Notamacropus eugenii: one gene and its partners. The protein of the gene in region 1 purifies or fractionates together with the protein of each later gene. This does not show direct contact. Links are inferred from orthologs where the notes say so. Each region holds a gene or a part of one and is shown in the gene's direction. Other genes may lie near its edges. The genes, in order: STX12, VAMP8, VAMP3 and VAMP7.

Evidence for each region.
Region 2: the proteins of STX12 (region 1) and VAMP8 purify together in Homo sapiens (affinity purification with mass spectrometry; 3 studies listed by BioGRID and IntAct, counting the BioPlex papers as one, with this or other methods). This does not show direct contact. The link is inferred for Notamacropus eugenii from reciprocal best matches to the Homo sapiens genes STX12 and VAMP8.
Region 3: the proteins of STX12 (region 1) and VAMP3 purify together in Homo sapiens (affinity purification with mass spectrometry; 3 studies listed by BioGRID and IntAct, counting the BioPlex papers as one, with this or other methods). This does not show direct contact. The link is inferred for Notamacropus eugenii from reciprocal best matches to the Homo sapiens genes STX12 and VAMP3.
Region 4: the proteins of STX12 (region 1) and VAMP7 purify together in Homo sapiens (affinity purification with mass spectrometry; 3 studies listed by BioGRID and IntAct, counting the BioPlex papers as one, with this or other methods). This does not show direct contact. The link is inferred for Notamacropus eugenii from reciprocal best matches to the Homo sapiens genes STX12 and VAMP7.

What each region holds. Positions count from the first base shown.
Region 1 is NC_092876.1:68,874,849-68,881,928, forward strand, and holds the start of STX12 (syntaxin-12), read left to right. Parts: upstream 1-4,071; 5' UTR 4,072-4,073; coding exon 4,074-4,200; intron 4,201-7,080. UniProt on the Homo sapiens protein: SNARE promoting fusion of transport vesicles with target membranes. Together with SNARE STX6, promotes movement of vesicles from endosomes to the cell membrane, and may therefore function in the endocytic recycling pathway.
Region 2 is NC_092872.1:726,536,936-726,544,015, reverse strand, and holds the start of VAMP8 (vesicle-associated membrane protein 8), read left to right. Parts: upstream 1-4,058; 5' UTR 4,059-4,644; coding exon 4,645-4,647; intron 4,648-7,080. UniProt on the Homo sapiens protein: SNAREs, soluble N-ethylmaleimide-sensitive factor-attachment protein receptors, are essential proteins for fusion of cellular membranes.
Region 3 is NC_092876.1:46,453,356-46,461,103, forward strand, and holds the start of VAMP3 (vesicle-associated membrane protein 3), read left to right. Parts: upstream 1-4,728; 5' UTR 4,729-5,299; coding exon 5,300-5,301; intron 5,302-7,748. UniProt on the Homo sapiens protein: SNARE involved in vesicular transport from the late endosomes to the trans-Golgi network.
Region 4 is NC_092879.1:11,730,249-11,737,238, reverse strand, and holds the start of VAMP7 (vesicle-associated membrane protein 7), read left to right. Parts: upstream 1-3,979; 5' UTR 3,980-4,248; intron 4,249-6,990. UniProt on the Homo sapiens protein: Involved in the targeting and/or fusion of transport vesicles to their target membrane during transport of proteins from the early endosome to the lysosome. Required for heterotypic fusion of late endosomes with lysosomes and homotypic lysosomal fusion.

The sequences.
Region 1 (7,080 bases):
AATAAAATTTAATAAATAAAAGGATTTGTTCTGTAAAACTTGGACTCAGTCAAAAGGCTGTACGTGAGGACCTAAAAGGCCACATGTGGCCTCAAGGCTGCAGATTCCCCACTCCTAGAATTGGAAATTGAGGGAATTGAGAGTCATTCCCCCATCAATTGGGGAATGACTAAACAAGTTGCGGTATATGAATGTAATGGAATACTACTGTATTGTAAGAAATGATGAGCAGGCTGGCTTCAGAAAAACCTGGAAAGATTGATATGCACTAATGCTGAGTGAAGTGACCAGAACCACATCATTGTACACGGTGACAACACTGTGTGATGATCAGCTACGGTGGACTTAGCTCTTCTCAGCAATGCAATGATCCAAGACAACCTAAAAGATTCATCCTAGAAAATGCTGTCCACATCCAGAGTAAGAACTAAGGAGTCTGAATGCAAATCAGAGTGTACTATTTATACTTTTTTTGCTTGTTTTTTTTTCTTGTGATTTTTTTTCCCTTTTGTTCTGATTCTTCTTTTACATGACGGATGTGGAAATATGTTTAATATGATTGTATATGTATACCGTATATGAGACTGCTTGCTGTCTTGGGGAGCAGGGAGGGAAGAGGAGAAAAATTTGGAACTCAAAATCTTATAACATGAATGTTGATAACTATCTTTACATGTAATTGGAAAAAATAAAATACTATTTACAAGAAAAAAATCCCAAAACAAAACAAACCAAAAACCGAAACAACCCCAGGGCTGCAAACTCCAGGAGTACTTAAATGTAACAATTAAATTCAAAAACAAGTTCTGCAAGCCATCAGGAGACAAATCTTCAAATAAAATGTAAAGTATATTTGAAGAATGCAAGACTATTCCTCATCCACTAGAAAAAGGAGAAGAGAATGGAATAATGTGTTCTGAAGTGCATTGGAGGTCAGGATGCAGCCCAGAGTAACCTATTCTCAATATCTGAGCTTAACCATACAGGACAAAATATGGGTATATATAAAGAAGAGTTTGAAACATTTTTTAGAAAGAAAACCAGAACTGAAAAGATCATTTGCTTCTTGAACAACCCATCAACAGAATTCAGGAGTTAAGAAATGCAGATAATAACTGCAATAGAGTGACAACAGAAACACAGTAAGCGACTTCTTTCTAAATGGAGACAGGTAAAAATCTGGTAGTGGTAACAGTGAAGAGGCAGATGGGGACATCATGGATGGAACCTGACAATCAGGAGAATGCTTCCTTTTGTAGGACTACATTACAACACAGGAGGGTACGTGAAAAGGAGGCAGGGGGAGCAGGAGGTTAGAAAGAAATGAGTGTTGCCAGGGTCAGATCAAGGGTCAGTAATGAGGAGAATGTGACCTCTGTGGCTTCAGAAAGAAAAGGACCTACAGGAGAGTGGGTGAACAGGAGGAGGGAAAGACTGAAAAGGGGAGGAAAGAAAGGAGGGTTTACTTTGGAGGTACGAGGGAGTTCCCTGATGTTTCTGTGGGTGAAGGGAAATGAAGATACTGCACTTGATAAGGCCGAGGAATTGGTGCCTGAAAAGACTGCTTATCCTAGGATGGGGAGAAGGGGAATTGGAACCCCTGGGAACACTTGGAAGAATGGAAGAGCATGGACATAGGAGATTTTCAGGCAAATGTACGGAAGGGGAAAGGTCAACAAGAGGAGTATAGGTCAGTTGGGGGTGGGAGAGCACTACCAAGGGGCAGCCTCTCTTTGACACCTGCAATAATTGGCATTATTCTGAGCGTGAGGTATAACAGGAAAGCAGAATCCATAGGAAAAGCCCTACAAGGCAGAGGCAGAAAGTGCCTAGAGGACAGAACCTAGAATGGATACCCTGGAAGCTTTGATTATATGAAGACCACAGAGAAAAGAGAGACTAGTTGAATATAGATAGGGGTCTTAAATCAGATAATGAGGGTCTAGACTAAATAAAAGGAGATGGATAATGAAGTGAGAGAAATCTCTTTTTGGAAAAGGATGCAAAAGTGAAGTAATGAATTGGACTAGCTGAAGAAGTAATAACTTGATTAACTGAGGAAATAAGAGAGGGAAGAAATATATAATCATAACCAGATAAAAGCAGGAGAGTGAAACAAAACTCTAAAGAGACAGTAGTTAAGAAATGAAAAGGCAGAAGGAGGGGAATGAGGAAGAGAGCTGGTGGGAATAAGGCCACCTTCAAAAAAGATTAAAATAATGGAACATAATCCTGTGTATAACAGAAGAGGGAGAAAAATCATAATTATTATTAAAGAGAAATGAGAACCAGGAAAACATTATACACCATAACATCAATACTGCAACAATGATCAACCCTGAAACTTAGCTACTCTAATCAATTGAATGATCCAAGAGAATTCCAAAGGATTCGTGATGAAAGATGTGATCCACCTCTCGAGAGAGACGTAATGAATTGAGTGCAGATGGATGCATATTTTTTCACTTACTTTTTCTTCTTGTTTTTTGAAACATGGCAATATAGAAATATGTTTTGCAAGATAACTGATGTCCTATGGGTGGGGGAGGACTGGAAGGAGAGAGTTCGGAATTCAAAATTTTAAAAAATGGATGTTAAAGTATAAAAGATCATAGCTGTTACTAATGTATCAGAATATAATGGTCACTGCAGCTTTGGTCTTCTAGTTTGATGTGAACTTAATCAACATCCTCAAACCACCCTATGCATAGTTGAAAATACATTTTAAGGCAGAGAGATCTGCCATATTCATGTTTAACCTTTTCCAACACGGGCTCTCAAAATGCACATTGGGTTTCATCAGCATGGCAGAATACTAAGTGAATTAGATAACCTAGGTTTTAGCTTTGGTACTTAGTGACCTTGGGCAAGTCAGTTCTACTCCTAGGAGCTATATATACTTTTAAAATAAAATAAAAAAACTAAAATTTTTAATAAAATTTCCGGGATTAGAGGATCTCTTAAATTTCTTTCCTGTACTGAAATCCCAATTTACCAGTGTATCTGAGGCATCTGGAACAGGGCAAAGATGGGAAGCAGACTTTCCTGACAGGAACAAAAGCCTGAATTCTGAATACAGATTTGGAACCGAAGGGATCCAAAAGGGCACCTAACCCAAAGCCTTCCTTCTGCAGAGGAGAAGACTGAGGCTCAGAGCGGGCCCGTGACTGGTGATCCCACGTCCAGCACTCTCCACCGGCCCACGCTGACTGCTAACGCGGGGGGCCATTCCCCACGCTGCAGCGCCTGATCCACGTGGAGGAGTCACGTCCTTGGCTGGTGCTTACTTCTGCCTGCACCTCCGAGGCCATCACTTAATGCGGGACGTTACGGGGGCCGCCCTGGACCTACAGACTCGTCTTCGGTGTCAATCCGACCTGAGGGACCCCGGGCCGGTCACGTCACCCTGTCGGCCTCCGTTCCCTCGTCTGTAAAACGAGCTGGAGGAGGCGGCCGACCGCCCCGGCATCTCTGCCCAAAGCCCCCAGCGCGCCTCGACCCAGGAAGCACGTGAGGACGGGGAAGGGGCCGCGCCCCGCCTCCCACCCGCAGCCGGCATCCCGGCGGGGCCTGCGGGCCGGGGAGGTGACTGGGCCTTCCGCGGCCTTCCCCTCCGCCCGGTACCGCTGGAATGCCGAGCCCCTCCCCGAGGACGATGAGGTCACCCTCTGGGGCGGAAACGAGGCGATGGATGTTTCCTCTGGGGGGGCCGGCGGGAAAAGGGGTGCTGGGTCGGATGGATGCGATGGCCCCTTCCCTGTGGCGGCCCCCGTCCTGTCTTATGCAGAATAAAATCTGGGTCCAATGGACCCCACAGGGAAAGACTCCGAATCTCTCCCGGCATCCGCCCCCAAAGCGCGTCCTTACGTCACGGCTCCGCCGGGAGGCGGGGCGCATGCGCGCAGCGGAGGCCCGGGTGCGCACGCAGCAGTCTCCTCCTCTCCCTTCTTTGCGCCCCCCTCCCCCCGTCGCGGCTCTGTCCTCCTCTCCCGCTCCCTGTCACTGGTCGGCGGCTCCCCTTCCGGCTGGGGATCAGTCCGGATCGACCCCGGCCCGGCCAGGCAGCCCTCGCCATGTCGTACGGGCCCCTAGACATGTACCGGGCGGCGGGGCCCTCGGGCCCGCAGGGCGCCCAGCCCCGGGACTTTGACAGCATCTTCAGCACTTGCTGCGGCCACATCCAGAGGATCAGCTACGCCAGTGAGTGGGGCCCGCGGGCGGCCGGGGAGGGGGCGACCACGACGGGTGTGGCCGCGGGAGGGCTGAAGGCCCCCGGCCCCGCGCCGGGCCCTGGCTGCCTGCGGGGGCGAAGGCGCCGCCCCGCCTGCTCAGCTCTGCCCCCTTCCCTCCGGGCCACGCTAGAGCTGATCGATCGGCAGGTGGGGAAACTGAGGCCCGAGAAGGGAAGGGGCGAGGCCAAAGCAGAACCAGCCGGAACCTGGAGCCCCAAGCCAGGCTTGTGCTCGCCCCAAACTGCTTTCCTGGGCTTGGAGTCCGGTCCTGGGGCTGCCTCGTTTGACCAGCCCCTGTTCTTCAGCCTCCAGCCACCCCTCCTGTCCTTCCCAGTCTGCTCGGCTCAGATTATGTGTAACAGTGTAGCTTCCGAGTCTGCATTCTCTGTGGTCCTGGACCAGCTGGAATTCAGCGCAAATGTCAGCTAAGGTGAAGTGAAGGTTGCGTGACCTGAAACACCTCCTGAATGTCATGGTCGTAAGGATGTGGAGGGGTATGGAGCCTATGGGTTTGTCTTCTGTTTTAATTTCCCTTGACAGCCCAAGATCCAAGGAGTACAGCTTGTTTTATTAATCTCCTTGGAAGCTTTAAATTCAGAGATTTCCTCGTAGTCCATCCAGCTGTTAGACAGCAGCAGTCAGTATTTGGTTTTGATCGGTCTTATTCGCTGTTTCTTGAAATGAATTTCATATACAGAGAAGTTTAGTGACTAACTCCAAATCGCATAGGAGTGTATGTCAAGCCACAGTGAGAGGTTCTGTGTTTGGGACTTGTCTTACTTTCTCATTATGTAATCCCTCCCCGATGTGGGGGGAGAACAATTTAAAAGTATCCCCCTTCCTGAGACAAGGTCAAGTAGCATCATCTTTGTACAGAAAGGTATGCATTTTAGGGGTTCCAGCTATCATCCTAGACTAGTTGTTAGTAGTCATTGATCTTGAATGATTATATTTATCAGTTCATATTAACAGCATATTTATAAAGCTTATTTAAGATTTGCAAAATCCTTTCCTCACAACAATCTTGTGAGGAAACAAAGTATCTTATCTCCACTTTCTATACGCTGGTTCCTGATCCTGAGACCCGTGCTGTTTCTATTACCTCAATGCTGAAGTTTAAAGAACTGTGTCACATTTTGCTTTGCCTTTAATTAGTTGTTTAAGAAAGCAAGAAACAGTATGTGGTAGAGAGAAATTCTGAGTCAAGTAAACTAAACTTACTAGCTGATTTTCCCAGTTGTATTTAGAGATGGCTGGCTGTAATACAAGTTAACCTCACAGCCTTGTTACAGGATTCATGTATTTCAAAATATATGCAAGATACAGCTCTCTCACATCTTAGTAGATAGTCCTCAGGGGTTACTGTAGCACAGAAATTCGTATTTGTGGACAATAAATCTCACCAAACTTGCCTGAAGTAGTCGTTGGACAGTAAACTTTTGACCCCTGAGTTTGCACTTGAAACTTAATTTTACTTGAGAGATCTTGTGGAGCTTGTATTCAACTAACCTAGCCTTTGAAAACTCGGGATCATCTCCATGCCATGATGAGACACTGGAAGATGATCTTAGTGACAGGCTGCTATGATCAGCTACTAATAACTCTCATTTATATAGTGTTTTACTCTTTGAAGTATATAGTGCAAATATTAGCCCTAGTTTACTAATTTTGAAATTGAGGCTCAGCTAGGTTAAGGGACTGGCCAACATCCCAGAGCTAATAAGTGAAAGACCTGGGGCTCAGAATTATGTCTTCTGACATTTCAATCTCTTGCTCATTCTGATCCTGTGTATTTAATTTCTTGTTCTTTGGTTTTGACAGTGCAGATATAATAGACTAAAGTTCATTTTAAACATTACCCAGAATTAGTTTTCACTGGGGAAGATTGGCAAGCAAGGAGTAACATTGTTATCATTTCTTAATTAGCAATATTAGAGGCCCATCAATGTTACTACTTCAGGTGAATGAGTGAACTTATTTTTTCTCACTTAAGACAAATTTGAGAATGGGAACTCTTTTTTTCCCCCAGCTTCACCTTGCCAATTACCATTGTAGGATCTTTTTACTTTTCTCTCATTCTGACTTTGAACCCTCAGTAATTCTGGCTGAAGTGTCTGTCCTCACTTGCTGCTCTTTGTGGAGAATCTAAGATGCCATTCGGAGATGAAATAGGAAGAATACCTTAACTGTTTCCTTATTTGTCATCTGGCTACATTCACACACACATCCCAAACTTCTCCGCGTTTTCCTGCCTCACTATACTCACTGTATTATACTTCAGTGAACTGAAAGCGTGATGCTCAAGAAAATAATTTCTTGTCCTTTGTATTAGATACAAGGATAAACAGAAGACATCGTACCTACATTGTCCATTTCTAGTTTGTGGTAGAGCCAGGCACTCTCCACATTTACGATGTTTGCAGTTGTAGTAACATTGTTAAATCTTTTTTTCTGGATAATTTTAATTGCAGTTTTTTTAACTGAAAATGCAATTTTAATTTCTGTGCTGGTATATTTGGGAAACTGCAGGGTCATAATTACCGCATATCTCCATAGTCTGACTAATGTACTTCAGTTGTTTTCTTAAGATACTGAGTCATCTGGTGGTTCAGATGCTGGAGAGCTGTTGTCAGTATCTTTCCTATCAGTGGACTTTATGTTTTGAATGGATCAGAGTTCATTTGGACACTGTTATTCTCTGAAGCCCCGATGTTAAATTATGGAAAATATATTCATTTTAGAACACTTTGATCTTCATTTGAATCATAGGATGTTAGCACTGAAAATGTTTTTAGAGGTCATCTAATCTCATCTTATAGATAATGAAATGGAAACATCAGCTGTTGTT
Region 2 (7,080 bases), on another chromosome or scaffold:
ATGCCAATCCAGGAATGCAAAGAAAGGCAGAAAGACAATTCATCCTGTTCTTAAGGAGTTTATAATGTATTGGGGGAAGACCCTATGTAAAAAAACAAAACAAAACTGTAAAGGGTTGGAGGGGCAGGTACCCTCAAGTTGGGGGCAGGGTAAAGAATGGCAAAGAAAGTCTAAAGATTCAAGATTGCAACCTGGAGAGAATCAAAGGCATAACTGCCTTAGCCATCCTTCTCCAAATGGAAGAGCCAAAGACAGAGAAGTTGTGAGCCAAAAGTCCCTCCAGTGTGAGAAGTCCAGGGGGAGAGTGAATTTCCAGAAGTGATTTCTTTGGCATGATTCAGAGAGTCAGGAGTGCAGCCCAATCCCTCAGTTTCCTTATCTTTAAAATGAGATGAGCTCCAAGGTCATTTCCAGCTCTAAATCTATGCTCCTATTAGCCTATGAATAAGCCAGTCATGAAAAAAAAAACCAACAGAATTTATTTTGGGGGTGAAAGCTGCTGAAGCAAGTGCTTACCTGGTCCGTTCTAGGAGGGTCTGGGGCCTAGATTCTAGGCCAGGGATGAGGAAACACATAATGGAAGGGTTTGTTTTGTGAAGTTTGGATTCGGTCAAAAGGCAGCACTCTAGGTCCTAGAGGGCCACATGTTCAAGGCTGCAGGTTTCCCACCCCTACTCTAGTTTATCTCTGTGTCATCTCAAACAAGGAAGGAGGAAGGCTACTTTGGGGGCTGGGATGAGGTTCCTATCCCTTCAAGGGATTAACCTGGGGATCCCATACCAAAGCCCTTGATTAATCTGGACCATTAGAAGGCCCTGGTGTCCATGGAAGACCAGGTCAGAGGGACATCTCTGGATCAGATCCTACCAGTGTGACAGTTTACACAATAACAAAAAGACTATTAAAACAAACTTTGAAAAACTTTAGATCTCTGATCAATACAACCAGCCAAGAATGAGTGGTGAAATGTGCTACCCACCTTCTGAAAAATACATTTTCAGCCATGATCAGTTTGAAAATTTGTTTGCATATTTGTTACAAAAAGTTTTTTTTCTTTCTTTTTCTAATTTCTTGAAAAAAATGGATGTAGGAAGAGAGGGAATAGAGGAGAAGAGAGGGGCAAAATTTAGTCAGATTCTATTTCCTAAGCCTATGTTTTATCTAGACCTGTTTCCTTTGTGTTCCTGGGAACCAAACCTACCATTTACCCCAGAATCCTCCTGGTTGCTTCTGTGAGTTGTCACGCCTTCTCTCACTAACTTCACTTCCCCACCCCCAACCCACCAGGAGTCTTTATTTCCCTCCTCAAATGTCCTAAAGTGATCTTTCTTTTAGAGGAAGATAACTTCCTTGACCATGAGCTAGGACCATGTTCAAAATGCACACTCTCCAAGAGTTCTTAGTCTCCAAGAATGTCTTGGCCCTCTTTGCAATCAATCTAGCCAAGCCTATGGACTCGTTCTCAGGGTGATCAGTTTTTCAAAACAGTATTATGATGAAACTGACTATATTAAAAGACATTTGTCAAAATATTTTTTAAACCAAGTTCAGTGGGACATGAGTTAATAATCCCTACTAAGCAATGAAAATATTGACTCCCCTTTACTGCCCTCTGCCCTGTTATTGTAATGAGGTCTCTGTACATTTAATTAGCAAGTCTCTTATAACTTGAGCCAAAGTCATTATCATCTGCCTTAGCACTTTAGCCTCTGAGGGGCCCAGGTTTTCACTTCCAGAGTTATAATTACATTTGCACAGTGTCCATCTGGAGGAAGATGAGGGTGACAATATAGTCAGGACAGGCCCTGGATGTAGGGAGCTTTGGGACCAGGCCAAGTGTCCTCTTGCCTGGGACACATGCCAGAGTGTCAATGGCAGTCTTTGGCCTCTACTCACATCCCTCCTCGGTATGCTTGGCATTCCCCTTCTCTTGCTTGCTGGCTCTCCAGCTGGGTAGAGCCGCCATTTCCTGTCACACCCTGCCCCCTCTAAACTAAGCTGTCAAACGTCCTACAGTGTGGCGTGACCACATTCATTCTAACTGAAGGCAGGTTGGCATATCCAGCCATCACCTTCTCCTATCTGGGTCTCCTGACAACCAAAAGGAAAAAGCTAATTAATCCTAGCATCAGGCTGGAATGCGTTTTTCTCAGCTGCAGAAATCATCCCAGAACTTTTTCTGTCTTCTGAGATAGGACACCTTTTATGTTCTCCCACCAAGATAAAATTTAGGAAGACCAGCAATCGCCTTTTCCTTTGGCAGGGAGCCAGGGGTGGGAAAAAAATCCTTCCCTTGAGGCCTCTATCTCCAGGCCACTGGGGACTCTCTGAAGGTGCCTCTGACAGGATTTCTTGTCACCTGGTGTAATTCTGGAGTGAGGTACAGAATTACTGTCATCTTCCTTTTAGGGGGGCTGCTGCTCTAAGCTCAGAGACAGAAAAAGAGAGGGAGAGACAGAGAGAAAGAGAGAGCATGGTGTGTCCAGCAAAGAGCAGACCCTCTCCCTTTATCTGTCCCATTTCCAGCTGCATCAGGCTCACTGTGTGGGCAGCTGCCCAGCTTTCTGGTTCTCCAGTCCTTGTCTTAACCTTTGGCTTGGCAGCTGTCCTCCCTCACAGGGCAACCCTCCCTCCATTGGAGGTATCTCTAACTTCTCAGCCAATGCCCCTTACTCTCATCTCCCAAAAAAACCAACAAAACCCCAGCTTCAGACTGCAGAAACAGAAATCACAATTTCAGTACTAAAAGTTATCTTAGAGGTTATTTCAGTTTCCTCATCTTTAAATGAGGGGGTTTGACTAGGTGGTCTTGGAGCACTATGATACTAACAATCTAGCCTCAACCTCTAAACATTTTGCCACAGGAAGAAACTGAGGCACACAGGTGAAGCAACATGCCCGAAATTGCCCAGCCCAGGTCTCTGAACTCCCTAATCCAGGGTTTTTATTTTTACCAGCTACCTTGCACTAAAAATAAGGGTGCCTTCATTTTTTTAAGATCCGTACCTCAAGCAGAGCAAGGCATAGCAACATTTCTTGGACAAACAACCTAGTTAGTTTCTAATTTTGGATTTGATTTTTTTTGTTTTGGTCAGAATCTATGCTTTTGCTCTGCCACTGTCTGGGTGACCTTGAATGTGAGAACTGGATTCATCGACCTCAAGGAGTCCTTGCTGTTCTAACACTCTAATACGTCCTGACTTTTGGAATCCTCATCTTTCCCATGGTATTTTTCTTGATTCCCCCCAGACACTACTGCTGTCCAGCCCAAATCGACCTCAAAACGTCTCTTTCCTCTCTGTTTTGCTAAACCCATCCCATTCCAATATGAACTCCTAGAACTCAGTTTCTGTTTTCCTTTTGTTTTTGCAACTCCAATGCTTAGCCCACAGCAGGGACTTAATAAATGGTTCCAGGGGTGGGGAACCTGCAGCCTCAAGGCTGAAAATTTGTTTATAAATTTGTTTCTGTGAAGTTTGGATTCAGTCAAAGGGTTGAACTTGAGGACCAAGAGGACCACAGGTGGCCTCAAGGCTAAAGGTTCCCCAACCCTGGCTGTTTGGCATGTAGTAGGTGCTTAATAAATGTTGAATTTGTACTATTTCATCAGAGGACTGTAATTCCTGCCGCAGGTGCAGATGAGCAACTTATTTTTTGTTTAGAACCTTGACACAGAGGGTCCTTCCCCTTTTCGTGTGTCTTGGGCCCCTTCACATGTGTTGGCAAAATCTATGGATCTCTTAGAAGAATGTTTTAAATATTTGAAGGATACTTTAAATTTAGTTAGAGGCTAATGAAAATAAAGCTAAAAGGATTTTCCCATTCAACTTCAGGGGAACTCCATCTTTCGAACCTGGGGCTCCAAAGGAATAAATGATTTACCCACAGTCAAGCAGACAGTGGGTGTTAGAGGCCGAATTTCAACCCAGGTCTTCCAAGGCCAATTTTCTATCTTCTTGGGCCAGATGTCAGCCTACCACATTCACATATTAATCTGCCAGAATTGTAGTTTTGATTAAAGAGTAGAAAGTGAGAGAAGACGGTGGGTTCTGAGTCTAGTCCTTCTCTGGGTTTTAAGAAGTTGGCCTGTGGCTATTAACATCCCTTCCGGCTCTAACTTGCGAATGTTTCCATGAAAAGTGATCTCTGTTCTTTTCTGGGTGGTGAGAGTTGGGTGAGAACAGCCTGGAAAGCCTGGGGGGAAAGTGGAGGGGGTGGGGGGGCGGCAGGAGCTGTCTTCCCCGCTGAGGTAGCCGACTCGGGATTCGTTCCCTCAGGTTCTTAGGACATTCTGGGGAGCCTTGGATGTGCGCTTCCGAGTCTTGGAGGGGCTCAGGAAGCCCTAAGTCTTTTAAGTAAGCTCCAGCCCTGCTAGAGGAAAGGCTGGGGGAGGCTCCAAGGTGGCCAGCCCCGCCTCCTCCTTCATGTAACCTGTGGATCCAGGTGTGCCTCGAGAGCCGCCCAGTCTGGGACCGGCCGTGTAGACCCGACCGACGCAGCAGCGGAGCTCAGCCTTTGGGGCGGGCTGAAAGTTGGAATAAGCAGGAAGTAGGTTGAGCGCACCCCGGGAGAAAAGTACCCGAGCCAGTCCTTTGCTGCTGTTGTCCCAGCTGTTGAGGGGCCCCAGCTGGACGGGAGGCAGAGATGGTGAGTGAGGGAGGCCTCGAATGGGAGAAGGACTGGGAGGTGGGTCAGGAGGAAAAGGGAGGGGGAAGAGAGTGGCGATCCATCATCTCGAGGGTCTAGAGGAGAGAGAAGGCGGGAAGGCCCCCAGTGGCTCCTGTCCTTTGACCAGTACTCTGACTCTGGGCTGTCCCAGCTGTGGCTGGCTGCTCCCTTCTCTGATCACCCCCTCCTTCCCCACTGCCGGCCTTCACTTCCCTGACCTCCCTGCTGGCCCCGAAGACCGGGAATTCTTCCTGGAATGGTTGGCCGAGTTCCTGTGGGGGCGGAGGTTGAGGGAGGAGGACTCCCCGATCCCGGGAGCAGCAGAGCCCAGCCTGGCTGCCCACCCCGCCAGAGAGGGACCAAAGCCTGGCAGGCCTCTCCCTCCAGGCCCAAGGGCTCCAGCTGCTCCCTTGGGGCTCCGGTGTTCCCCAACTTGCTGGGTCAGCTGGACAGAAATGGAACTACCCAGGGCTGGAGGCGGCTTCTCCTCCCCCCTTCTTCCTTCAGTTCTGATATGAATGCAAAAGCTTTGTGGTTTGGGGGCTGGGGAAGAAGCTTGAGATCAGCTTGGGTGAGCTGGGCTGGAACTAGGACCCCTTCTTCATTACTCTTTCTGTCCGGAGGGATCAGCCTTGGCTCCTCAAATGTGGAATTTGTATTCAGTGTGTGATGTCATGATTTCAGACCTTACCTACCCAGGCTTTGGGGGTGAGGGGATGAAGGGGAAGAACCAGGAATGATTGCTTTTCTTCCCTTTAAAGCATGCTTACGTAATCTCTCCAAGCCTCTGGCTACTCTAGCTACCAAGTTACTGTTCTACTAGCCTTGTGACCTTGGGGCGGTCCCTTAACTGGGGGCCTCAAACAATTTTCCCTTAGCTTTATCTACTTAGTCCTTCCCTCTGCCTGAAAGGGAAGGGGGCAGGTCACTTAGTCTTTAATAATAATAATAATAATAATAAACAACTTTATAGCACATTGCAATCTAGAAAGCACCTTATATACATTATCCCATTTGATCCTTACCCCCACACCCACTGAGGTAGCAGTCAGTTATCCCCTCTTTGTTGATGAGTTGTTTCAGTTGTGTCTGACTTTCCTTGACCTCCTTTGGGGTTTTCTTGGCAGAGATACTGCAGTAGTTTGCCATTTCCTTCTCCATCTCATTTTAGAAATGAGGAAACTGAGGCAAACTGGGTGAAGTGACTTGCCCAGGGTCACACAACTAGCAAGTGTCTGAGACCAGATTTGAACTCAGGTTCTCCTGGCTCCAGGGCCAGCACTCAATTTATCCCCACTTTACAGATGGAGAAATGGAAGCTAATCAAAATAAAGTGATTTGCCCAGGGTTGGCTAGAGTGGATAGATAAAAGTAGAACACAGGCTTGGGAATTTCTAAGTTCAAAGTGACCTCAGACACTTAATAGCTGTGTGTGTGACCCTTAAATATCAGCCTCAATGTCCTCATCTGTAAAGATGGACATAATAATAGCACCTGTCTCACTGGGTGGTTGTGAAGATTAAACAGAAGCCAGTAGAATCAGGGCTGGAATTTGAACCCAAGGCCAATGACTGTCATGCCAAGGCTTGTTCCATACCACGTGAGGTATCACAAAGTCACAGGCTACGCTTCAAGAAGACCTGCCTTCTTTGTCTCCCACAGTTTTATTGACTGTTGGCACCAACATCCTCAGTGGCCCGAGCCCCCCTATCCCTTCGTCCTGGGCCACTGGGGGGTTGGGAGTGGAAAAAGCAGAAGTTTGTGGCTCAACGGCTGAAGATGGAAGGGGGCCGAGGAGTGGGGGGAGGGGGTAACTTAGAACTGCTGGACTCATTTCTAAGCAGCCACGAAGTGCAGCTGAAAGGAATCAACCAACATTTATCGAGCACCTACAATGTTGTTGTTGTTCAGTCTTTGTCAGTCATGTCTGACTCAAAAACCCATTTGGGGTTTTTGTGGCAAAGATGCTGGATCAGTTTGCTATTTCCTTCTCCAACTCATTTTACAGATGAGGAAACTGAGGCAAATAGGGTTTAAGTGACTTGCCCAGGGTCACACAGCCAGTAAGTGTCTGCAGCTGGATTTGAACTCTGGAAGATGAGCTTAATGTTGATTAATTGATTGCACCTTACTAAGCACTAAGGTTTACAAAAAGAAGCAAGAGATAACCTCTGTCCTCAATGAGGTTATAATCTAATAGAAGCAGGACTTTTCCAGGAGGAAATTTCTGAGAGAAGAGGGGAGATGTACTCACCTCAGAGTCTTGGAACCACTAGTGGCGCCTTCTCCCTGAGGCTGCTCAGTGAGATCTCCCCAGTTATCAGCACCATCTCCCTTTTGAAAGTACTTTATGTTTTTCCTTATTTACTGTATTTATATGATTTGTATTTACTGACTTGTGTGGTGGTTATC
Region 3 (7,748 bases), about 22 Mb from region 1:
GTCTGAATGAGCGAGAAAAGTGTGGATGTATTGTTTGTACATATTGTATATATTAAAACAGAGATATGTGCATGAATTCAAGAAAAAAAAGAAATGAAAAAAAGCAAAGCATTAGTGGCTATGGTCTGTAAAATGAAACAAAAACTTTATTTCACTATAAGAGTACTTTATTTTAAATGTTCTTTAGAAGAACATTTTGCTAAAGCATGACTAAACTGCAAAAAAAAAAAGAGCTACTGTATTTAGACTTAGGAAAAAAAGGCAGAGTAACATTACTAAAAAACAAAAAAAAGGATATGTTTACATTTAATTTTGGCTACCGGGAGTTGATTTAATTTTATTTTAACTTTTTTTGCCAATGGTGCCAAGTAATGTGAATGCTAATATTGCTTAAGAAAATTAAGTTAATTTTGCAAAGCAGATAATCATAAGAAAAACCAGTATATAGCTTAACACCATCCACTCACTCCAATAAAGAACACTTAGAATGAACATAAACTGAAAAAAAAAAAGAAATAGTCTGAAAGTAGAAAAATATGTTTCACATTTTCATATCTCCTGCTGGAAGTCAGAAAATGTAATAAAAATTGCACAAAAAAATTAAAAAAATTAAAATTAAAATGATGCAAACTGGTCTTGTAGGGGTGTCATGGTATATTACTATTTCCACATAATGAGGAGCCAAAGAAATCAGATACTTTAAAAAAAAAAATAGAAACTACTAATGTTAAATTAAGAGAGGGTAAGTTAGTATTTGCTGATACCAGTTTAAAATTTCCAAGCTAAGTCTGAAGATCAGTTGGTGTAAAGTTAATGACAATTAGTTTTGTTCTTACTTGATTTTGGCCATCAACTGTAAGTGAAAATGCAAGGCTTGTTGTGAAGCCTAAAAATATTCACAAATAAGAAGCTTTTAAACTGGTGTCTTTGGAAGGAAGGTATATACAAAAGGATTGGGGTAAAAACTGGGGTCAGTGCTCTTGGTGCCTTTTCTATAATTGTACTTGTTTTTTAATTACTTCCTTTCACTGCCAACCTTGAATTACTGTACAGTATACGTCTTACTGCTCGTGATCAGCTCTGACAACAGTGACAGTCCCACAACGAACAGCCACCTGTACATTTGTAAACTGACCTAACTCAATTTTTTTTTTAAGTGTGTGGCTCATGCTGCAGCTGTTGCAGTCCCAAAACATCTATTATTTTACAAAATTGGGCCTGTAGGAGAACACTGAGTATTATACACTCATAAACACATATACATAATTGCACACACAAATGGGAATGGAATGTGAAGGCCAGATCTTTCGAAATGTCCTGTATTAAAAGTGAATTTAGACATGTTTATTCCATTTGTTATGAAAAGAATGGATCTTTAACAAGAGTAATGACCTCAGTGGATTTGTTTTAACCCTCACATTTCTACAAAAAAAACGTTTCACATACATTTATTAGATGGGCAAGATAGAAGACTCAGTAAGATATAGAAATACTTAATGTTACTCTTCCAACTCAGAGGGTCTTCCTGGAGGGAAGAGAAAGTAGGTTTACTGCCTACTGCATAACCCACCACTGACCACTGAGTTAGCTAAAAATGCACTTCCACTGAAAGAATGCATTTCTGATCGCCCTTTTCTTGGTTGTGGATCATAGTTTTGAGTATAAGATGATAGGTAAGCGCAGCTTTCTTGGATAATCTGAATTCCCAAGTGCCAGGAGTAGGATTTCATTATAAAAATTAATAGCTAATATTATTCTGTCTCCTGAAAATTTAATTGCTATTATTACACATTTGAAATCAGCTGTACTGTGTGAACGAAATAAAGACTATAACATGAACCCCCTCTATGGTTGCACGGTCGCTTATGGCAGTTCCACACAGTAGTTGGCGCCCAACGGGGGGTCCCCAAGACTTGCATGTAAAACTAGTCTAGATGTCTCCTTTTTGTAAGTTTTATTTTTGTAATTGTGCATGTAAAGCATCACTGAATCAATGGATCTGTTGAAGAACTCAGCTGCTGGAACCATGCAAAATGTTTTGAATTGCCCTTAAAATATGGAAAATGTTTTCTGAATGCTTTATATTCTTTCTGCTGTAAATTAAAAATGAAGAAAATTTCCCCATACTAGGTGTTGGTGTGTTTTGTTCTTAATTTAGATTTCTCGGCTATTTAAAACCAGGGCACATTGTGCTTAACTTCATGTTGTTTCAAGCGTATCCATTTCAAAAAACAAAGTTTGGGTCCAGAATCTGTCTTTAATGAACATGATTCACACATGCCCTCCAAAGCACATCTCAGGAAAGTTCTACTCAATTTGCAAATAATAAAGTTACTTAAATGGGTTAAATTACAGAGAAATCATTTAAAATCTTTGTATTTAAAATACCAGACTGAATTAAAAACATGTAACTATGAAGCCTTCTGAGTCACTAGTGACAATCTTGCAAGCTGTTTAAAGTTCTACAGGGCTCCCCTCCATTCCCACTGCCAGCATCCTAGCCTAGGCCCTTTGCACCTTTCCCATTTGGATTATTGCAACAATATCCTAGCTGGTCTCTCCCTCAAGAGACTCTTCCCACTTTAAATCCAGTCTACTCCAACCTGGGATTTCATTAATATCTTACAGGGCCCTTCCACAGATGCAGAGCACAACTCTACCACATCTAAGAGTGGTTATGGACAAAAAAAAAAAACGATCACCCTTCATAGGATCATAGACCTAATGCTGGAAGAAACCTTAGAGGTCATTTAGTCCAGCCCCATCATTTGACCCAGTTCCAGCATGTGCTACTAAATGTTTAACAATCCTTTGTTGTTTTGTTTTTGTTGGGGGCAGGGGTAACGTATTCTTGACATACTTTTAAGTTGAGTCTGAATTACCAACATTTCCTTGATTGCTTTAAGTCCAGGCAATCAGCAGTCAAGTTAAGGTGTAAATGTTCACACTGACATTTTAACAACTGGCTCCCTAGCCAGGCTCCACCACACCACACACATCTTTGGCTTCTTCAAACTTTGCAGGACTGATACCCTGAGAACTGGTACCCAGTATTCAGAGCCTTTCTGTTTTGAGAGGGCCTCCCCAAACCTAAGCTTTGCTTACATAGCTTCAGGAACCTACAACCAAGACACAAGGCCTTAGTGGAAGAATTTCCTTAAAAATTCCCATTTATCAAGTCACTCCCCTGTTCACAAACCTATGTTGGTTCCCTATTGCCAACTCCAATCCCAATTCTTCTGCTCCAAAATGTGTCCCTATCCAGTCTTATTAACTACTTCATCTATACGCACCCTTTCTTCCTGTCAAATGTCCTCATTATTCTTTGGCCACTGTTCTTGCCCTGTACCTTTGCTCACAAGGTTCGAAATACTTTTACTCCCCTCTACTTAACCAAATTCTACCCATCCTTCAAATTCCACCACAGATCTCATCTTGCCAACATAGCTTTCTTTGACTACTCTTGGAATCCCTTTTCTTCCTATTGCTTTTAAGGTTACTACTTTAACTGTTAAAAGAAGGTAAACCGAGGCACAAATTTCTAAGCATGACCAATTTATTAGTAAAGTGTGAATTTACCAATAAATACAATCACAGTTTCCTCAGCGAAGCTAAGACATCCCTCCAAATGTGGGAGATAGTTCTCTTTTATAGCTTTTTTGGGGAGTATAGAGCAAAGAACATAACTTCCTAGGCGGGAAACAAGAGCTCAGCATCATGAATGGTGAAATCAAAATGAATGATTACAGAGCTGAGGCATGGGGCGACAACACGATTGGTTGGAAACTGGGAACCAGGGCCTAGCAACAAACACCCCTTTCCTCTCCTGTAGTTAAGGAATGTTCCTTGAGTCTACCCGCAAGATTAGATAAAGTGGACCAGACTTCTTTGCAGAGTAAACCAGACACCCTTGAAGGGCAGTTTGGTGGTGTAAAAATACCAGACCAGACTCCCTGATGTCCACCTGCATCCCCCAAGGAAAGCAGAATCCCTTGAGGCAAGAATGGACTTTTAACCTTAATTCACTGCATACTAAGTTCAGAGACAAGAACCACGATTTGGGCCATAACTGGACAAAATCAAGTCACCATAAAATAGGATCAGTTAAAAGACAGAATCAATCTGATTATCCCAGCACTCAGCCTCACACCTGCTGTCTTACTAAAGGTGCACAGCTGTCAGTCAGGTCTCCAATGACTCTGTGCTCCCTGAGGGCATCCCTTGTATCCTTTCCCTAGTCTGGACTCGTTTTGATGAGAAAATTCAGATTCAGATTCGTATGGGGCACGCTGCTTTCTCAGTCACCGAAGGGGTAACTAAGAGAGCCAGGGTCCCTCCCAATCTTTTGGCGGAAAACACACTTATCGCAGCTCGGACCTGTGCATTTATTTAGGAATGACTGGGGAAAAGCACGAATTAAGCGGTCTGCTAACATGGGAGGCAATGCCAAGCTCGTTGTATCCGTCTGGCTTTCATAAATACCTCCCAGTTCTAATGCAGGTCTGCCCGGACCCCTCCTGTACGGTTATATATGGGGCACAGCGGGCACTGCTTACCTCACCTGGGAAGAGGGACCATCCTCCCGGCAGCCTCAGAGGGAGTACAGCGCGCATGCGCGCACTCGCGGTCCCGCCTTCTCCAATCCCACCCCCGCCCCACCCCCACCTGGGAGGGGTCAGCGCAGAGGCCAGGGTGAGGCCGACTAGGGCACCGCCCCCACCCTCACTTACCCGGGCCACTTCCTTCCCCCCGCTGGGGCCGCCTATTCCTGCGGCTTCCTACAAGGGTCCAAAGAAACTCAACCAGGGGAGGGGAAAAAAGAAAGCCCGGAGAGAGAGTTGGACGGGGGGGCAGACTGAGGGAAGCGGGAGGGAGGGAGGGCATGGGCACGGACGGCGGCCGCCACCCCTCCCCCTCTGCTCTGTCAGTCACAGCGCCGCGAGCGGCAGCAGCGCCCGTTGAATCCGTTCCGTCCGTTGGTCGGCGCGCACGCGCACGCCCCTGCCTCCGCCCTTTCTGACTTCCTCAGGGAGAGGTGTGCCCGCGCGCCTGCGCGCGTGCGTCTAAGCCCTCTTCCTCTCCCGTGCAGACGGACGTGCGTGCGTGCGTGCGTACGCCTCGCTTCCAAGCTCCGCCTCTTCCCTCCGGTGCGTCACCAGCCGCGCCCCGCCCACCAGTCTGGCAGGCGAGCAGGCAGACGGAGTCTGGGCGTCCGTGAGCCGCTCCACCCTCCGCGTTCCGAGGCCCCGCAGAGCCCGCCAGAGCGATTCCTCTCCCGACGAAGGGGCCAGCCGCCGAGATGTGAGTGACGCGCCTCCGGGGCCCGAGCGGGCGGGGGTCTGGCTCCGCGGCTGCTGCCGGGGCGTGCCCCCTCCGTGCGGCCCGGGCTGCGGGGGACGCCCTGACGCGGGCCGCAGCCTGTACGCTTGTATTCTCGTACGCGCCCTACGAATAGAGCCGGCCCTGCCCTCGCGGAGCTTCCAGTCTGAGGAGGGAAGCCCCGGGGTCCGGAGCGGCCGAGGGGAGGCGGCGGCGGGGTTCCGATCGCGCCTCGGCGGGGGGGACGGAGCCTGGACGTGGAAGGGAGGGGGAGGGGGCGGGAGACCCTGCCCCGGGCCCTGGCCCCTCCTGGGCCCCCTCCGCCCCCTCCGCCCTTTCCGTTCTGGAAGGGTCTCCGTGGTGGGCACGGCAGCAGTAACGATGATGACGGCGGTGATGACGTTTATGTAGCGCCTTCGGAGCGCTTTCTAGGCGGGGTCCCCTTGGAGCCCGAGAACGACCCTGTGTGGGGCGGGGATATGTGTGCCCATTTTACAGAGGGGGAAACTGAGGCTCAGGGAGGCGCTTTGGCAGCGCTGGAACGGTTCCCTACATAAGCGAGTAAAGAAGCATGAACTGGGGGGGGGGTCCCTGCCCCCAGGGGGTCGCTGTGGCTGCCCCCAGGGGGTCGCTGTGGATCTTTAGGGAGAAGTCAGATCATGAACATTATTGTCTAGGAACCAGGCTTCCTAGGAATTTTGAGTTACTTTCTTGTGGAGTGCTTGTGGAACATTTCTCCCTGCAGTCAGACATTTGTCACCGGTGCACAACTTTGGGAGTGTTCACTTTTTCCTCTTGAAGGAATGTGGCTTAGGATTTTAAGGTCCCTTTGGTGACTGTGCTTTACAGTGTGACCTTTTAAATGCATTTTTCCTGAGCTTACCCAAGATTTTACCAAGAATCCTATCTGGCACCCCAGGGGGCTCAAGTTTGGAGAATGAAAGGAGGCTAGGAAACTAGAATCAGAATAGTCTCGTTGGCTTCTCAGGAAAGAAAATGCATTCCACCAAAATAGAGTATTAATGGCAGCTAGCATTTATATAATACCTACTACGTCGTTACAAATATTATCTCATTTCATTCTCCTAACAACCCTCGGAAGTAAATGCTATTGTTAGCCCCATTTTACAGTTGAGAAAATTGAGGCAAGCAGAGGTGAAGTAACTTAACCAAGGTCCATCAACTGGTGAGTGTCTGAGGCTGGATCTGAACTCAGGCCCAGCACTCTATCCACTTCTCCACCTTAGGTGCCCCATACTAAGTACTACTATGTGGTTGTTCAGTTGTTTTCAGTCATGTCTGACTTTTCATGATCCCACTTGGGATCCTCTTGGCAAAGATACTGCAGTAGTTTGCTGTTTCCTTCTCTATCTCATTTTACAAATGAGGAAACTGAGGCAAATGGTGAAATGACTTGCCCAGGGTGACACAACTAGTGAGTATCTAGGCCATATTTGAACTCAGGTTTTCCTGAGTCCAGGCATGGCTCTCTATCTATTGCATCACATAGCTGCTCATCAATATGTTCAAGATAATGTTGAACATTATGGGTGATTCATAGAATTACATGGCAGTCTCTGCTTTCAAAGAATTTAAGTTCCAGTTGGGAAAAAATTGCAAAAATAACCTTACATGTCATCGTCTGACTAAATATCAACTAATAAAAGTATCTACTCTGGGTTGGAGTGGTCAAGGAATGCCATTTCCTTCAAAGCAGCATTCTGGTGTCTCCTTTTAGTAGAAAACTTTCCTGATTCTGTCCCTCCCCATTGTTGGCAGTCTCTTCCTTTCACAGTTACTTTATATCGCCTTTCATATACTTTGTGTTTATTTGTGTGTGTGATGGCTCTCTATCTCCAATAGAACATAAGTTTCTTGAGGGTAGGTACTATTAAATTTTTCTTGGCTTTGCAGCCCTAGGAAGAGCCTTGACTCAAGTGCTTTACATGCACAAAAGGCTTAATAAACATTTATTGAATTGAATTCATGAGAAAAATAAAATTTGATCTTGGCCTTGAAGGATAGATAAATTCAAAGCTATGAGCATTATCCCAGTTATTTCTTCATTTACCTACTATTTAGTGGTAGTGTGAATTTAATAATGCTCATTCCTGAAAATTACATTCAGAAGTAGCAAGAAACAATAATTATAGCAAATGAACTTAACTATGTCCTTAATGGGGGTGAGGCAAAGGTGTGGTCCACAATTCTTAGGCTTAACTATGAAAATACCCTGAACTGATAAGGATTAATTTCCTTGTTCAGAACTAAAAACTCATTATCTTTCCTTATGCCGTGTTCTGGTGATTCTATCTTTACAACATCTCTTAGACCATGCCCCCTTCTCTCCTAAGACACTGCTACTGCTGTGATCCAGGCCCTCATTACCTCACGCCTACATGATTGTAATAGCCTTCTGGTTGGCTTCT
Region 4 (6,990 bases), on another chromosome or scaffold:
CCCTCTATGGGTCTGCAGTTCCCTTCCTGCCTCTCTTTCCTCCCTCCCTTCCTCACAGAACAGGTTCACTTACATAAAGTAAGTGCTATCAGTATAAATATATGGGTTAAAATAAGGGATGAGAGCAGAAGCTATTTTGCTTTAGCTGAAGTAAAAAGGACAAGGATAGTAATCATGATCTCAGAAAAAGCAAAAACAAAAACAGCCTTCAGTAAAAAAGAAACTATATTTTGCTAAGAGGTACCATAGATAGTGAATTAACATCAATGCTAAACATATATGCACCAAATGGTATAACCTCTAAATTCTAAAAGGAAATGTTAAATGAGTTACAGGAAGAAATAGATAGTAAGGGACCTCAATTGAACCCTCTCACATCTAGATAAACCCAAACAACAAATGAACAAAACAGAAGTTAAGGACTTGAAAATAATTTTAGAAAAGTTAGATGTAATAGACCTCTGGAGAATATTGAATGAAAATGAATAGGAATATACTTTTGCCCATATTGCATGGCACCTTAACAAACATTGATCATATATTAAGGCATAATAAGCTCACTAACATATGCAGAAAAGCAAATATATTAAATGTATCTCTTATTGACCATAATGCAATAAAATTACATTAACATGCCTTTAAAGCGAAATTAAAAATCAGTTGGAAAGTAAATAACATAATCCTAAAGAGCAAGTAAATTAGAGAACAAATTAGAAAACAAATATATAATTTCATTAATAATAGTAACAACAATGGGACAATATATGAAAATTTGTAAGATGTAGCCAAAGTAGTAAATATGGGAAATTTTAGATCTTTAAATGTGTTTGTCAATAAAAAAGAAGAAAAGCAGATCAATGAATCAGGCATGCAATTAAAAAAATAACTAGAACACTAACAAATTAAAAGCCTTCCATTAAACACCAAACTAGAAATCCTGAGAACCAAAGGAAAGATGAACAAAATTGCAAGCTAAAAAAATGTTATAAAAAATAAAACCTAGGAGTTAGTTATTTTGAAGAAAAAACAATGAAGTAGATAATCCATTAGGTAATTTGATTTTTAAAAAGAAAGAATAAAAACAAATGACCAGGATCAAAAAGAAAATGGTGAATTCATAACAAATGAAGAAAAAAATAAAAGCAGTTATTAGAAGCTATTTCACCCAACTACATGTTAATACAGTAATACTGATAATAATAAAACCTAAATGAAATGGATATTTACAAAAATATAAATAATGCAGATCAATAGTACAGGAAATTGACTACTTAATAATCTTACCTTAGAAAAAGAAATTAAACAAGTCATAAGTGAATTACCAAAAAAAAAATACCCAGGACCAGACGGATTTATAGAAGAATTCTACCAAACTTTTAAATAAATTCTAATACTACATTAACTTCTTGAAAAAGTAGGTAAAGAAAGGGTCCTGCCAATTCCTTCTGTGTTCTTGATATCTCAACTAATTATTTCAATGTGTCTTTGATGCTTTACTCAAGGGAGAGTCAAAGCAGAGAAAGAGAACTATAGACAAATTTCCGAAATGAATATTGATGCAAAAATTTAAATAAAATATTAGCAAGGAGACAATGGCGACACATCACAAAGATCATGCTCTCTGACCAAGCTGGTTTTATATCAAAAAGGCAGAATAGGTTCAATATGAGGAAAATTTGGTCATATTAACAATAAAAGCAACAAAAATCACGTGGTTATTTCAAACGAAAAATGCAGAAAAAGATGCAGAAAAACAACAAGGTACAGTATGCATTTCTTTAAAAATACTAGACAGCATAGGAATAAATGGAGCTTTCCTTAAAATTATAAGGATAAAAATTGTATTAATTGTGAAACAGGGGGGACACAGGACTGGCATAGGACTAGCACAGGACTATCCAGCATGGCATGTTAGCTTCAAAGAAGGTGCTCTGCTCAATGAGCAAAAGAGAATAAAACCAGCTCAAAACAAAGGTAAGATGTGTGGATTTAAAGATATCTCTATCCTGAATGTTCACACAGACTATTTATACTTGACTTCTGTTAGTTTTCTAAGCTCATTATTGGTCAGACACACTGTATATTGACCCCAAACATTGTGATGGCATTCTGGTTCTCTTCAAGAATGAAGGACAAGCAAGTAGACTCTATCTAAAACCAAGAGCAAGGGAAAAATAAACTAGAAGCCTTTCCAATAAGATAAGGAGTAAAGCAAGGATGTCCATTATCACCATTACTATTCAAGACTAAATTAGAAGTACTAGCTATAGTAATAAAACAAAAAAGAAATTAAGGGGAAAAGCCTAGGCCAAGAGGAAACAAAAACTATTACTCCTAGGCTCAATTTGACTTTGTAGGGTTGCTCTCTTTTGCTCATAACAGTTTCAGTGCCTGAGGTGTCAAATTCCAGGACCAAACTTTTCCTCCTGGGTAGACCGGATAGGCTCCAAAGAGCTAGATTTGACTAGCCCTTTCTCCTTTTGTTCTGGAGAGATTTTCTGGATGCTGGGCTGAAGCTGTTTAGATTCTGTTCCAGGCCTTTCTTCTGCTGTGGTCCAGCCTCTGGGCCTGCCATTGAGGCATTTTTCTGTTGCTTTTGGGACCCCCAGTTACCTGGGCCTCTCTCTTGTTATGAGGCTTAAGGTTTACTCCCTTGTGCTGGATTCTTGCCAGGAGGTCCTGAATTCTACTCTGCTTAGGTACTTTTGTGGCTGAACTCTAGACTGCCTTCTTGTTGGGTTCTTGCACTGACTCTGGCTGCTTTCGTACTGAATTCCACTTAGGGCTTTTTTTTTTTTTATCTCACAGTGCTTTGGTGTCACATCTGTGTTTATCTTTTCCTGGGGCCTTTCTCTTGCCATTGGGCTCTTGCCAATGAACTCTGAAGTTGTCTTTACTCTGGGTAATTGGCTACTTGTACAATACAGGTAGTGGTCCTTGCTCACTCTTGTCACTCAGTCCACTAACCCTTTTCCATGATGGTTTAACAGCAGGCAGATTGGTCCGGAGGTGCTTATCAGAAAAGAGGCAAATTCCCAGCCTGTCCAAGTTCACGTTCACATTGGATTCAGCATTCTATCGTTGAGCACTAGAAGTGATCATAGCCCCTGAATCTGGGATTTCTACGTGGGTACATGATGGCTATTGTTAATAGTCTATTGTTGCTAGGAAGTGAATGCAACGTTTTGAGGGAACTGTTATTGTTATACTTTTGTCAAGGGATGTGCCTGGATACATGCTATGTCTGGAGGGACTTCTGGGGTGTGGAAGAGAAGTAGACTTTTAGCTACTTAGTAGATATTTTGTATGGATGGGTTTATTTGCACTTCTTTCATCTCTCTCTTTCTGTTTCTCTCTCTCTCTCCCTCCCTCCCTTCCTTCTTCCCTCCCTCCCTCCCTCCCTCCCTCCATCTATCTTGTATGGATCGGTTTATTTGCACTTATTTCATATCTACCTATCGCCATCTATTTTGTATGAATGGGTTTATTTGCATGTATTTCATATCCATTTGTCTCCACCTATATTACACATGTTGACCCATTCGTTGAATATCATAGCCAAGAGGGCAGGGACAATTTTTGTCTTTGAATAGCACTTAATAAATGCTTGTTGATTGATCGTGCAGTGTAGGAGTTTGTCGTTATGCACTGTTTATTTGTTCTATATACGAGCCAGGCCAAGAGTGAGACAAATGCTCTCTGCAGTCCAGTAGGTGGAGCAAATAAGTGTGTGGGGTTTCCTGATTGACAGTTCAGAGGTTCAGCCACTAGATCACCCTGAGGTCCATTTCAGCTGACTGGGGTCAAGAGACTGGCCAGACAAGTCCTTTTTTCCAGGACCATTCCGCCTCTAAGGAGGTCGGGCAGAAGCTCCAAACTACCAGTCCCAGCATGCATCGTGACCTCAGAGAAGGTGGGGAGGGGGGGAACACCCCCTCCCCCCACTCCATTCCCTTTCCCAGAAGGCCGCGGGCGAAAGTGCGCCTGCGCAGCCCGGGCACCAGCTCGGAGCTCGGCTTGGAGCTCTGCCCGCCCCGCCCCCTCCCGGGTCGTCGCTTTCTGTTACAGAGGGAAGAGCCATTGGCTCAACTGGTCGTTGGCGTGCGCGCGTATACGCCTCCCTACGTCCCCACGTACGCACCTAGGGTTGCGTCCCTCCCTCCTTCCCCGTCAGCGCAGCGAGCTGGGCCGAGCGAGCCTCTGCTGCCGACTGGGGTCGCCCAGGCGGACCGCCCTGCTGCCACTGAGGTAGGTGCCCTCCCTGTTCCCCTGGCGCGCTCTGGGGGAGGCCGCCCCCTCTCCTCCTACCCCCCATTTCCTCCCCCATCTCCCCCTCCCCTCTCTCTCTTCGGCGGGGCGGGGCTTGTGGGGGGAGGAGCGGGGAGAGGTGGAACCTGGGCCCCACTAGGGTCGTAGGCCCCACCCTTACCCGGAGCCTCTTTCCTTCCTTTCCTGTCTCTTCCTGTGGCCCCTCCTGTCTGTCCGAGAGGAAGAATCGTGAGATGCTCAGGGGGAGGACTGTCTATAGCTTCCAGCTGATGTGGTGGAGACATCCCCCCCACCCCCTTTCGGTTTAGCGAGTGGGTTTGGGACTAAAAGCACAAACATAAAGAAAAGCACAGAATCTGAAACTGAGGGGATGCCCATCCATTGAGTAATGGCTGAATAAGTTCTGGTTTATGAAGGTGATGGGCAAGACCTTTGTGTTGAGGCGGGGGATGATTTTAGAGGAACTGTTGGCAAAGTGAAAGGAACAGGACCAGGAGAAAAGTTTATATACAGTAGAAACCTGTAAAGACAGTCAGTTCTGTCAACAGTCAACACAATCACCAAGGATTCGCGATGGAACATACCGACCACCACCAGAGAGGGCTGGTGCGTTTGGAGGGCAGATCTAAAAGGACATGGGCAATGTGTGGATTTGTTTTGCTTAACTATGTTTCTTTGTTCCAAAAGGAGTTGCTGTGACAGATGTTTTTGCTTGCCACCAATTTAGTGATTAACCTGTTTACCTCCATTTTAAATAAACTGATCTTCAAAGTTGATATGTGGGTATCACCTCCATACCCACAAGCCCCACTCCAGTGTGGGACAAAGATTTGTCACTGATTGCAAAAGCTGTGGGAATAAAGGAAGGAATGATACATTTAGGAAGAAAGCACTGAGGCACTGTGTGCTAAATACTGTGCTAAGTCCTGGGTGTGTAGCAATACAGGATAGAGACACTCACTGCTCTGAAAGAACCCACATTCTAATTGAGCAAACAATTCATATTGTACATTGGTAGCCAGGTAGGGGTGTTTTGGTCTGAGAGGTTACTGCTGATGTGAGCTGACGTTATACTTTAAGATACTTCTACGTAGTAGTGCCAACAGTTTTCATCAAGAATGTTTTAAGCATCTGACTAAATCTGATAAGCACATCTGGAATTTGACAAATAGCCTTCTGTTGAAGCCCTTGTTTCAAATTTTTCCCCAGTCCATTCCATTTAGTTGTCAAAGTACCCAAAGGGCAGTTTTTTTTTTATTTCTGACATCATAGTGGATGTTACCTTTAATACTTCAACTCTGACTAATCTGCCACCAAGGCATTTATTTTATTGTTTATTTTATTTTATATTTTCTTTGAATAATATTTTTCCCAATTACATGTAAAAAAATTTTTTAACAGTCTTTTTTAAAATTTTCAGTTCCACATTCTCTCCATTCCTCTCCCCTCCCTGAGATGGCAGGCAATTTGATATAGGTTATACATGTGCAATCATACAAAACATATTTCCATCTTAGCCACATTGTGAAAAAAAACAGGCCAAAAAAAAATGAAAAATAATATCCTTTGATCTGCATTCAGACTCCATCAGATCTTTCTTTGGAGTTGGATAGCATTTTTCATCATGAGTCCTTTGGACTTATCTTGAATCGTTGTATTGCTGAAAATAGCTTAAGTCATTTACAATTAATCTTTATACAGTATTGCTGTTACTGTGTACAGTGTTCTGGTTTTGCTTACTTCACTTTGCATCAGTTCACATAAGTCCATGTTTTTCAGAAATCATCCTGTTTGTCATTTCTTATAGGACAGTAGTATTCCATTACAATCGTATGCCACAAGTTGTTCTTCAATTGATAGACATCCCCCCAATTCCACATTCTTTGCTACCACAAAAAGAGCTGCTATAAATATTTTTGTACAAAGAGGTCCTTCTTTTTTAAACTCTTTGGGATACAGACCTAGTAGTTGTAATTGCTAGATCGGGTTGATAGCCCTGTGGACATAGTTCCAAATTGCACTCCAGAATGGTTGGATCAGTTCACAATTCCACCAGCAGTGCATTAGTGTCTCAATTTTCCCACATCCCCTTCAGCATTTGTCATTTTCCTTTTCTGTCATGTTAGCCAATCTGGTAGGTATGAGGTAGTACCTCAGAGTTGTTTTAATTTGCATTTCTCTAATCAGTAGCAATTTAGCACATTGTTTTATATGGCTATAGATAGCTTTGATTTCTTTTTCTGAAAGCTGCCTGTGCCTATCTTTTGACCATTTATCAATTGGGGAACCAAAGAGCAGTTCTGACCATGTCACTTTCTCTCCCCCCCCCAACTTCAGTGACTCCCAGTCACCTCCAGGATCAGACATAAAATCTTTTTATCTTTTAAAGCACTTCAGTACCTGTCTCCTTTTCACCTTTTTAGTCAATCAATCAAGAAACATCTATTAATCACCTACTAGGTGCCAGGCCCTGAGCTAAGTGCTGGGGGTACAAAAAGAGCAAAAGACAGTCTCCGCCTTTAAGGAGCTTACAATCTAATGGAAGAGATAATATGCAAGCAAATATATACAAATCAAGCTATACACAGCATAAATAGGAAGTAACTAATAGAGGGAAAGTGCTAGAATTAAAAGAGGTTGGGGAAGGCTCCTTGGAACTTAAAGGAAGCCAAGGGAGGTCAGTAGGTGGAGGGGAGGAAGGAGAGCATCTCTGGCTTGGGG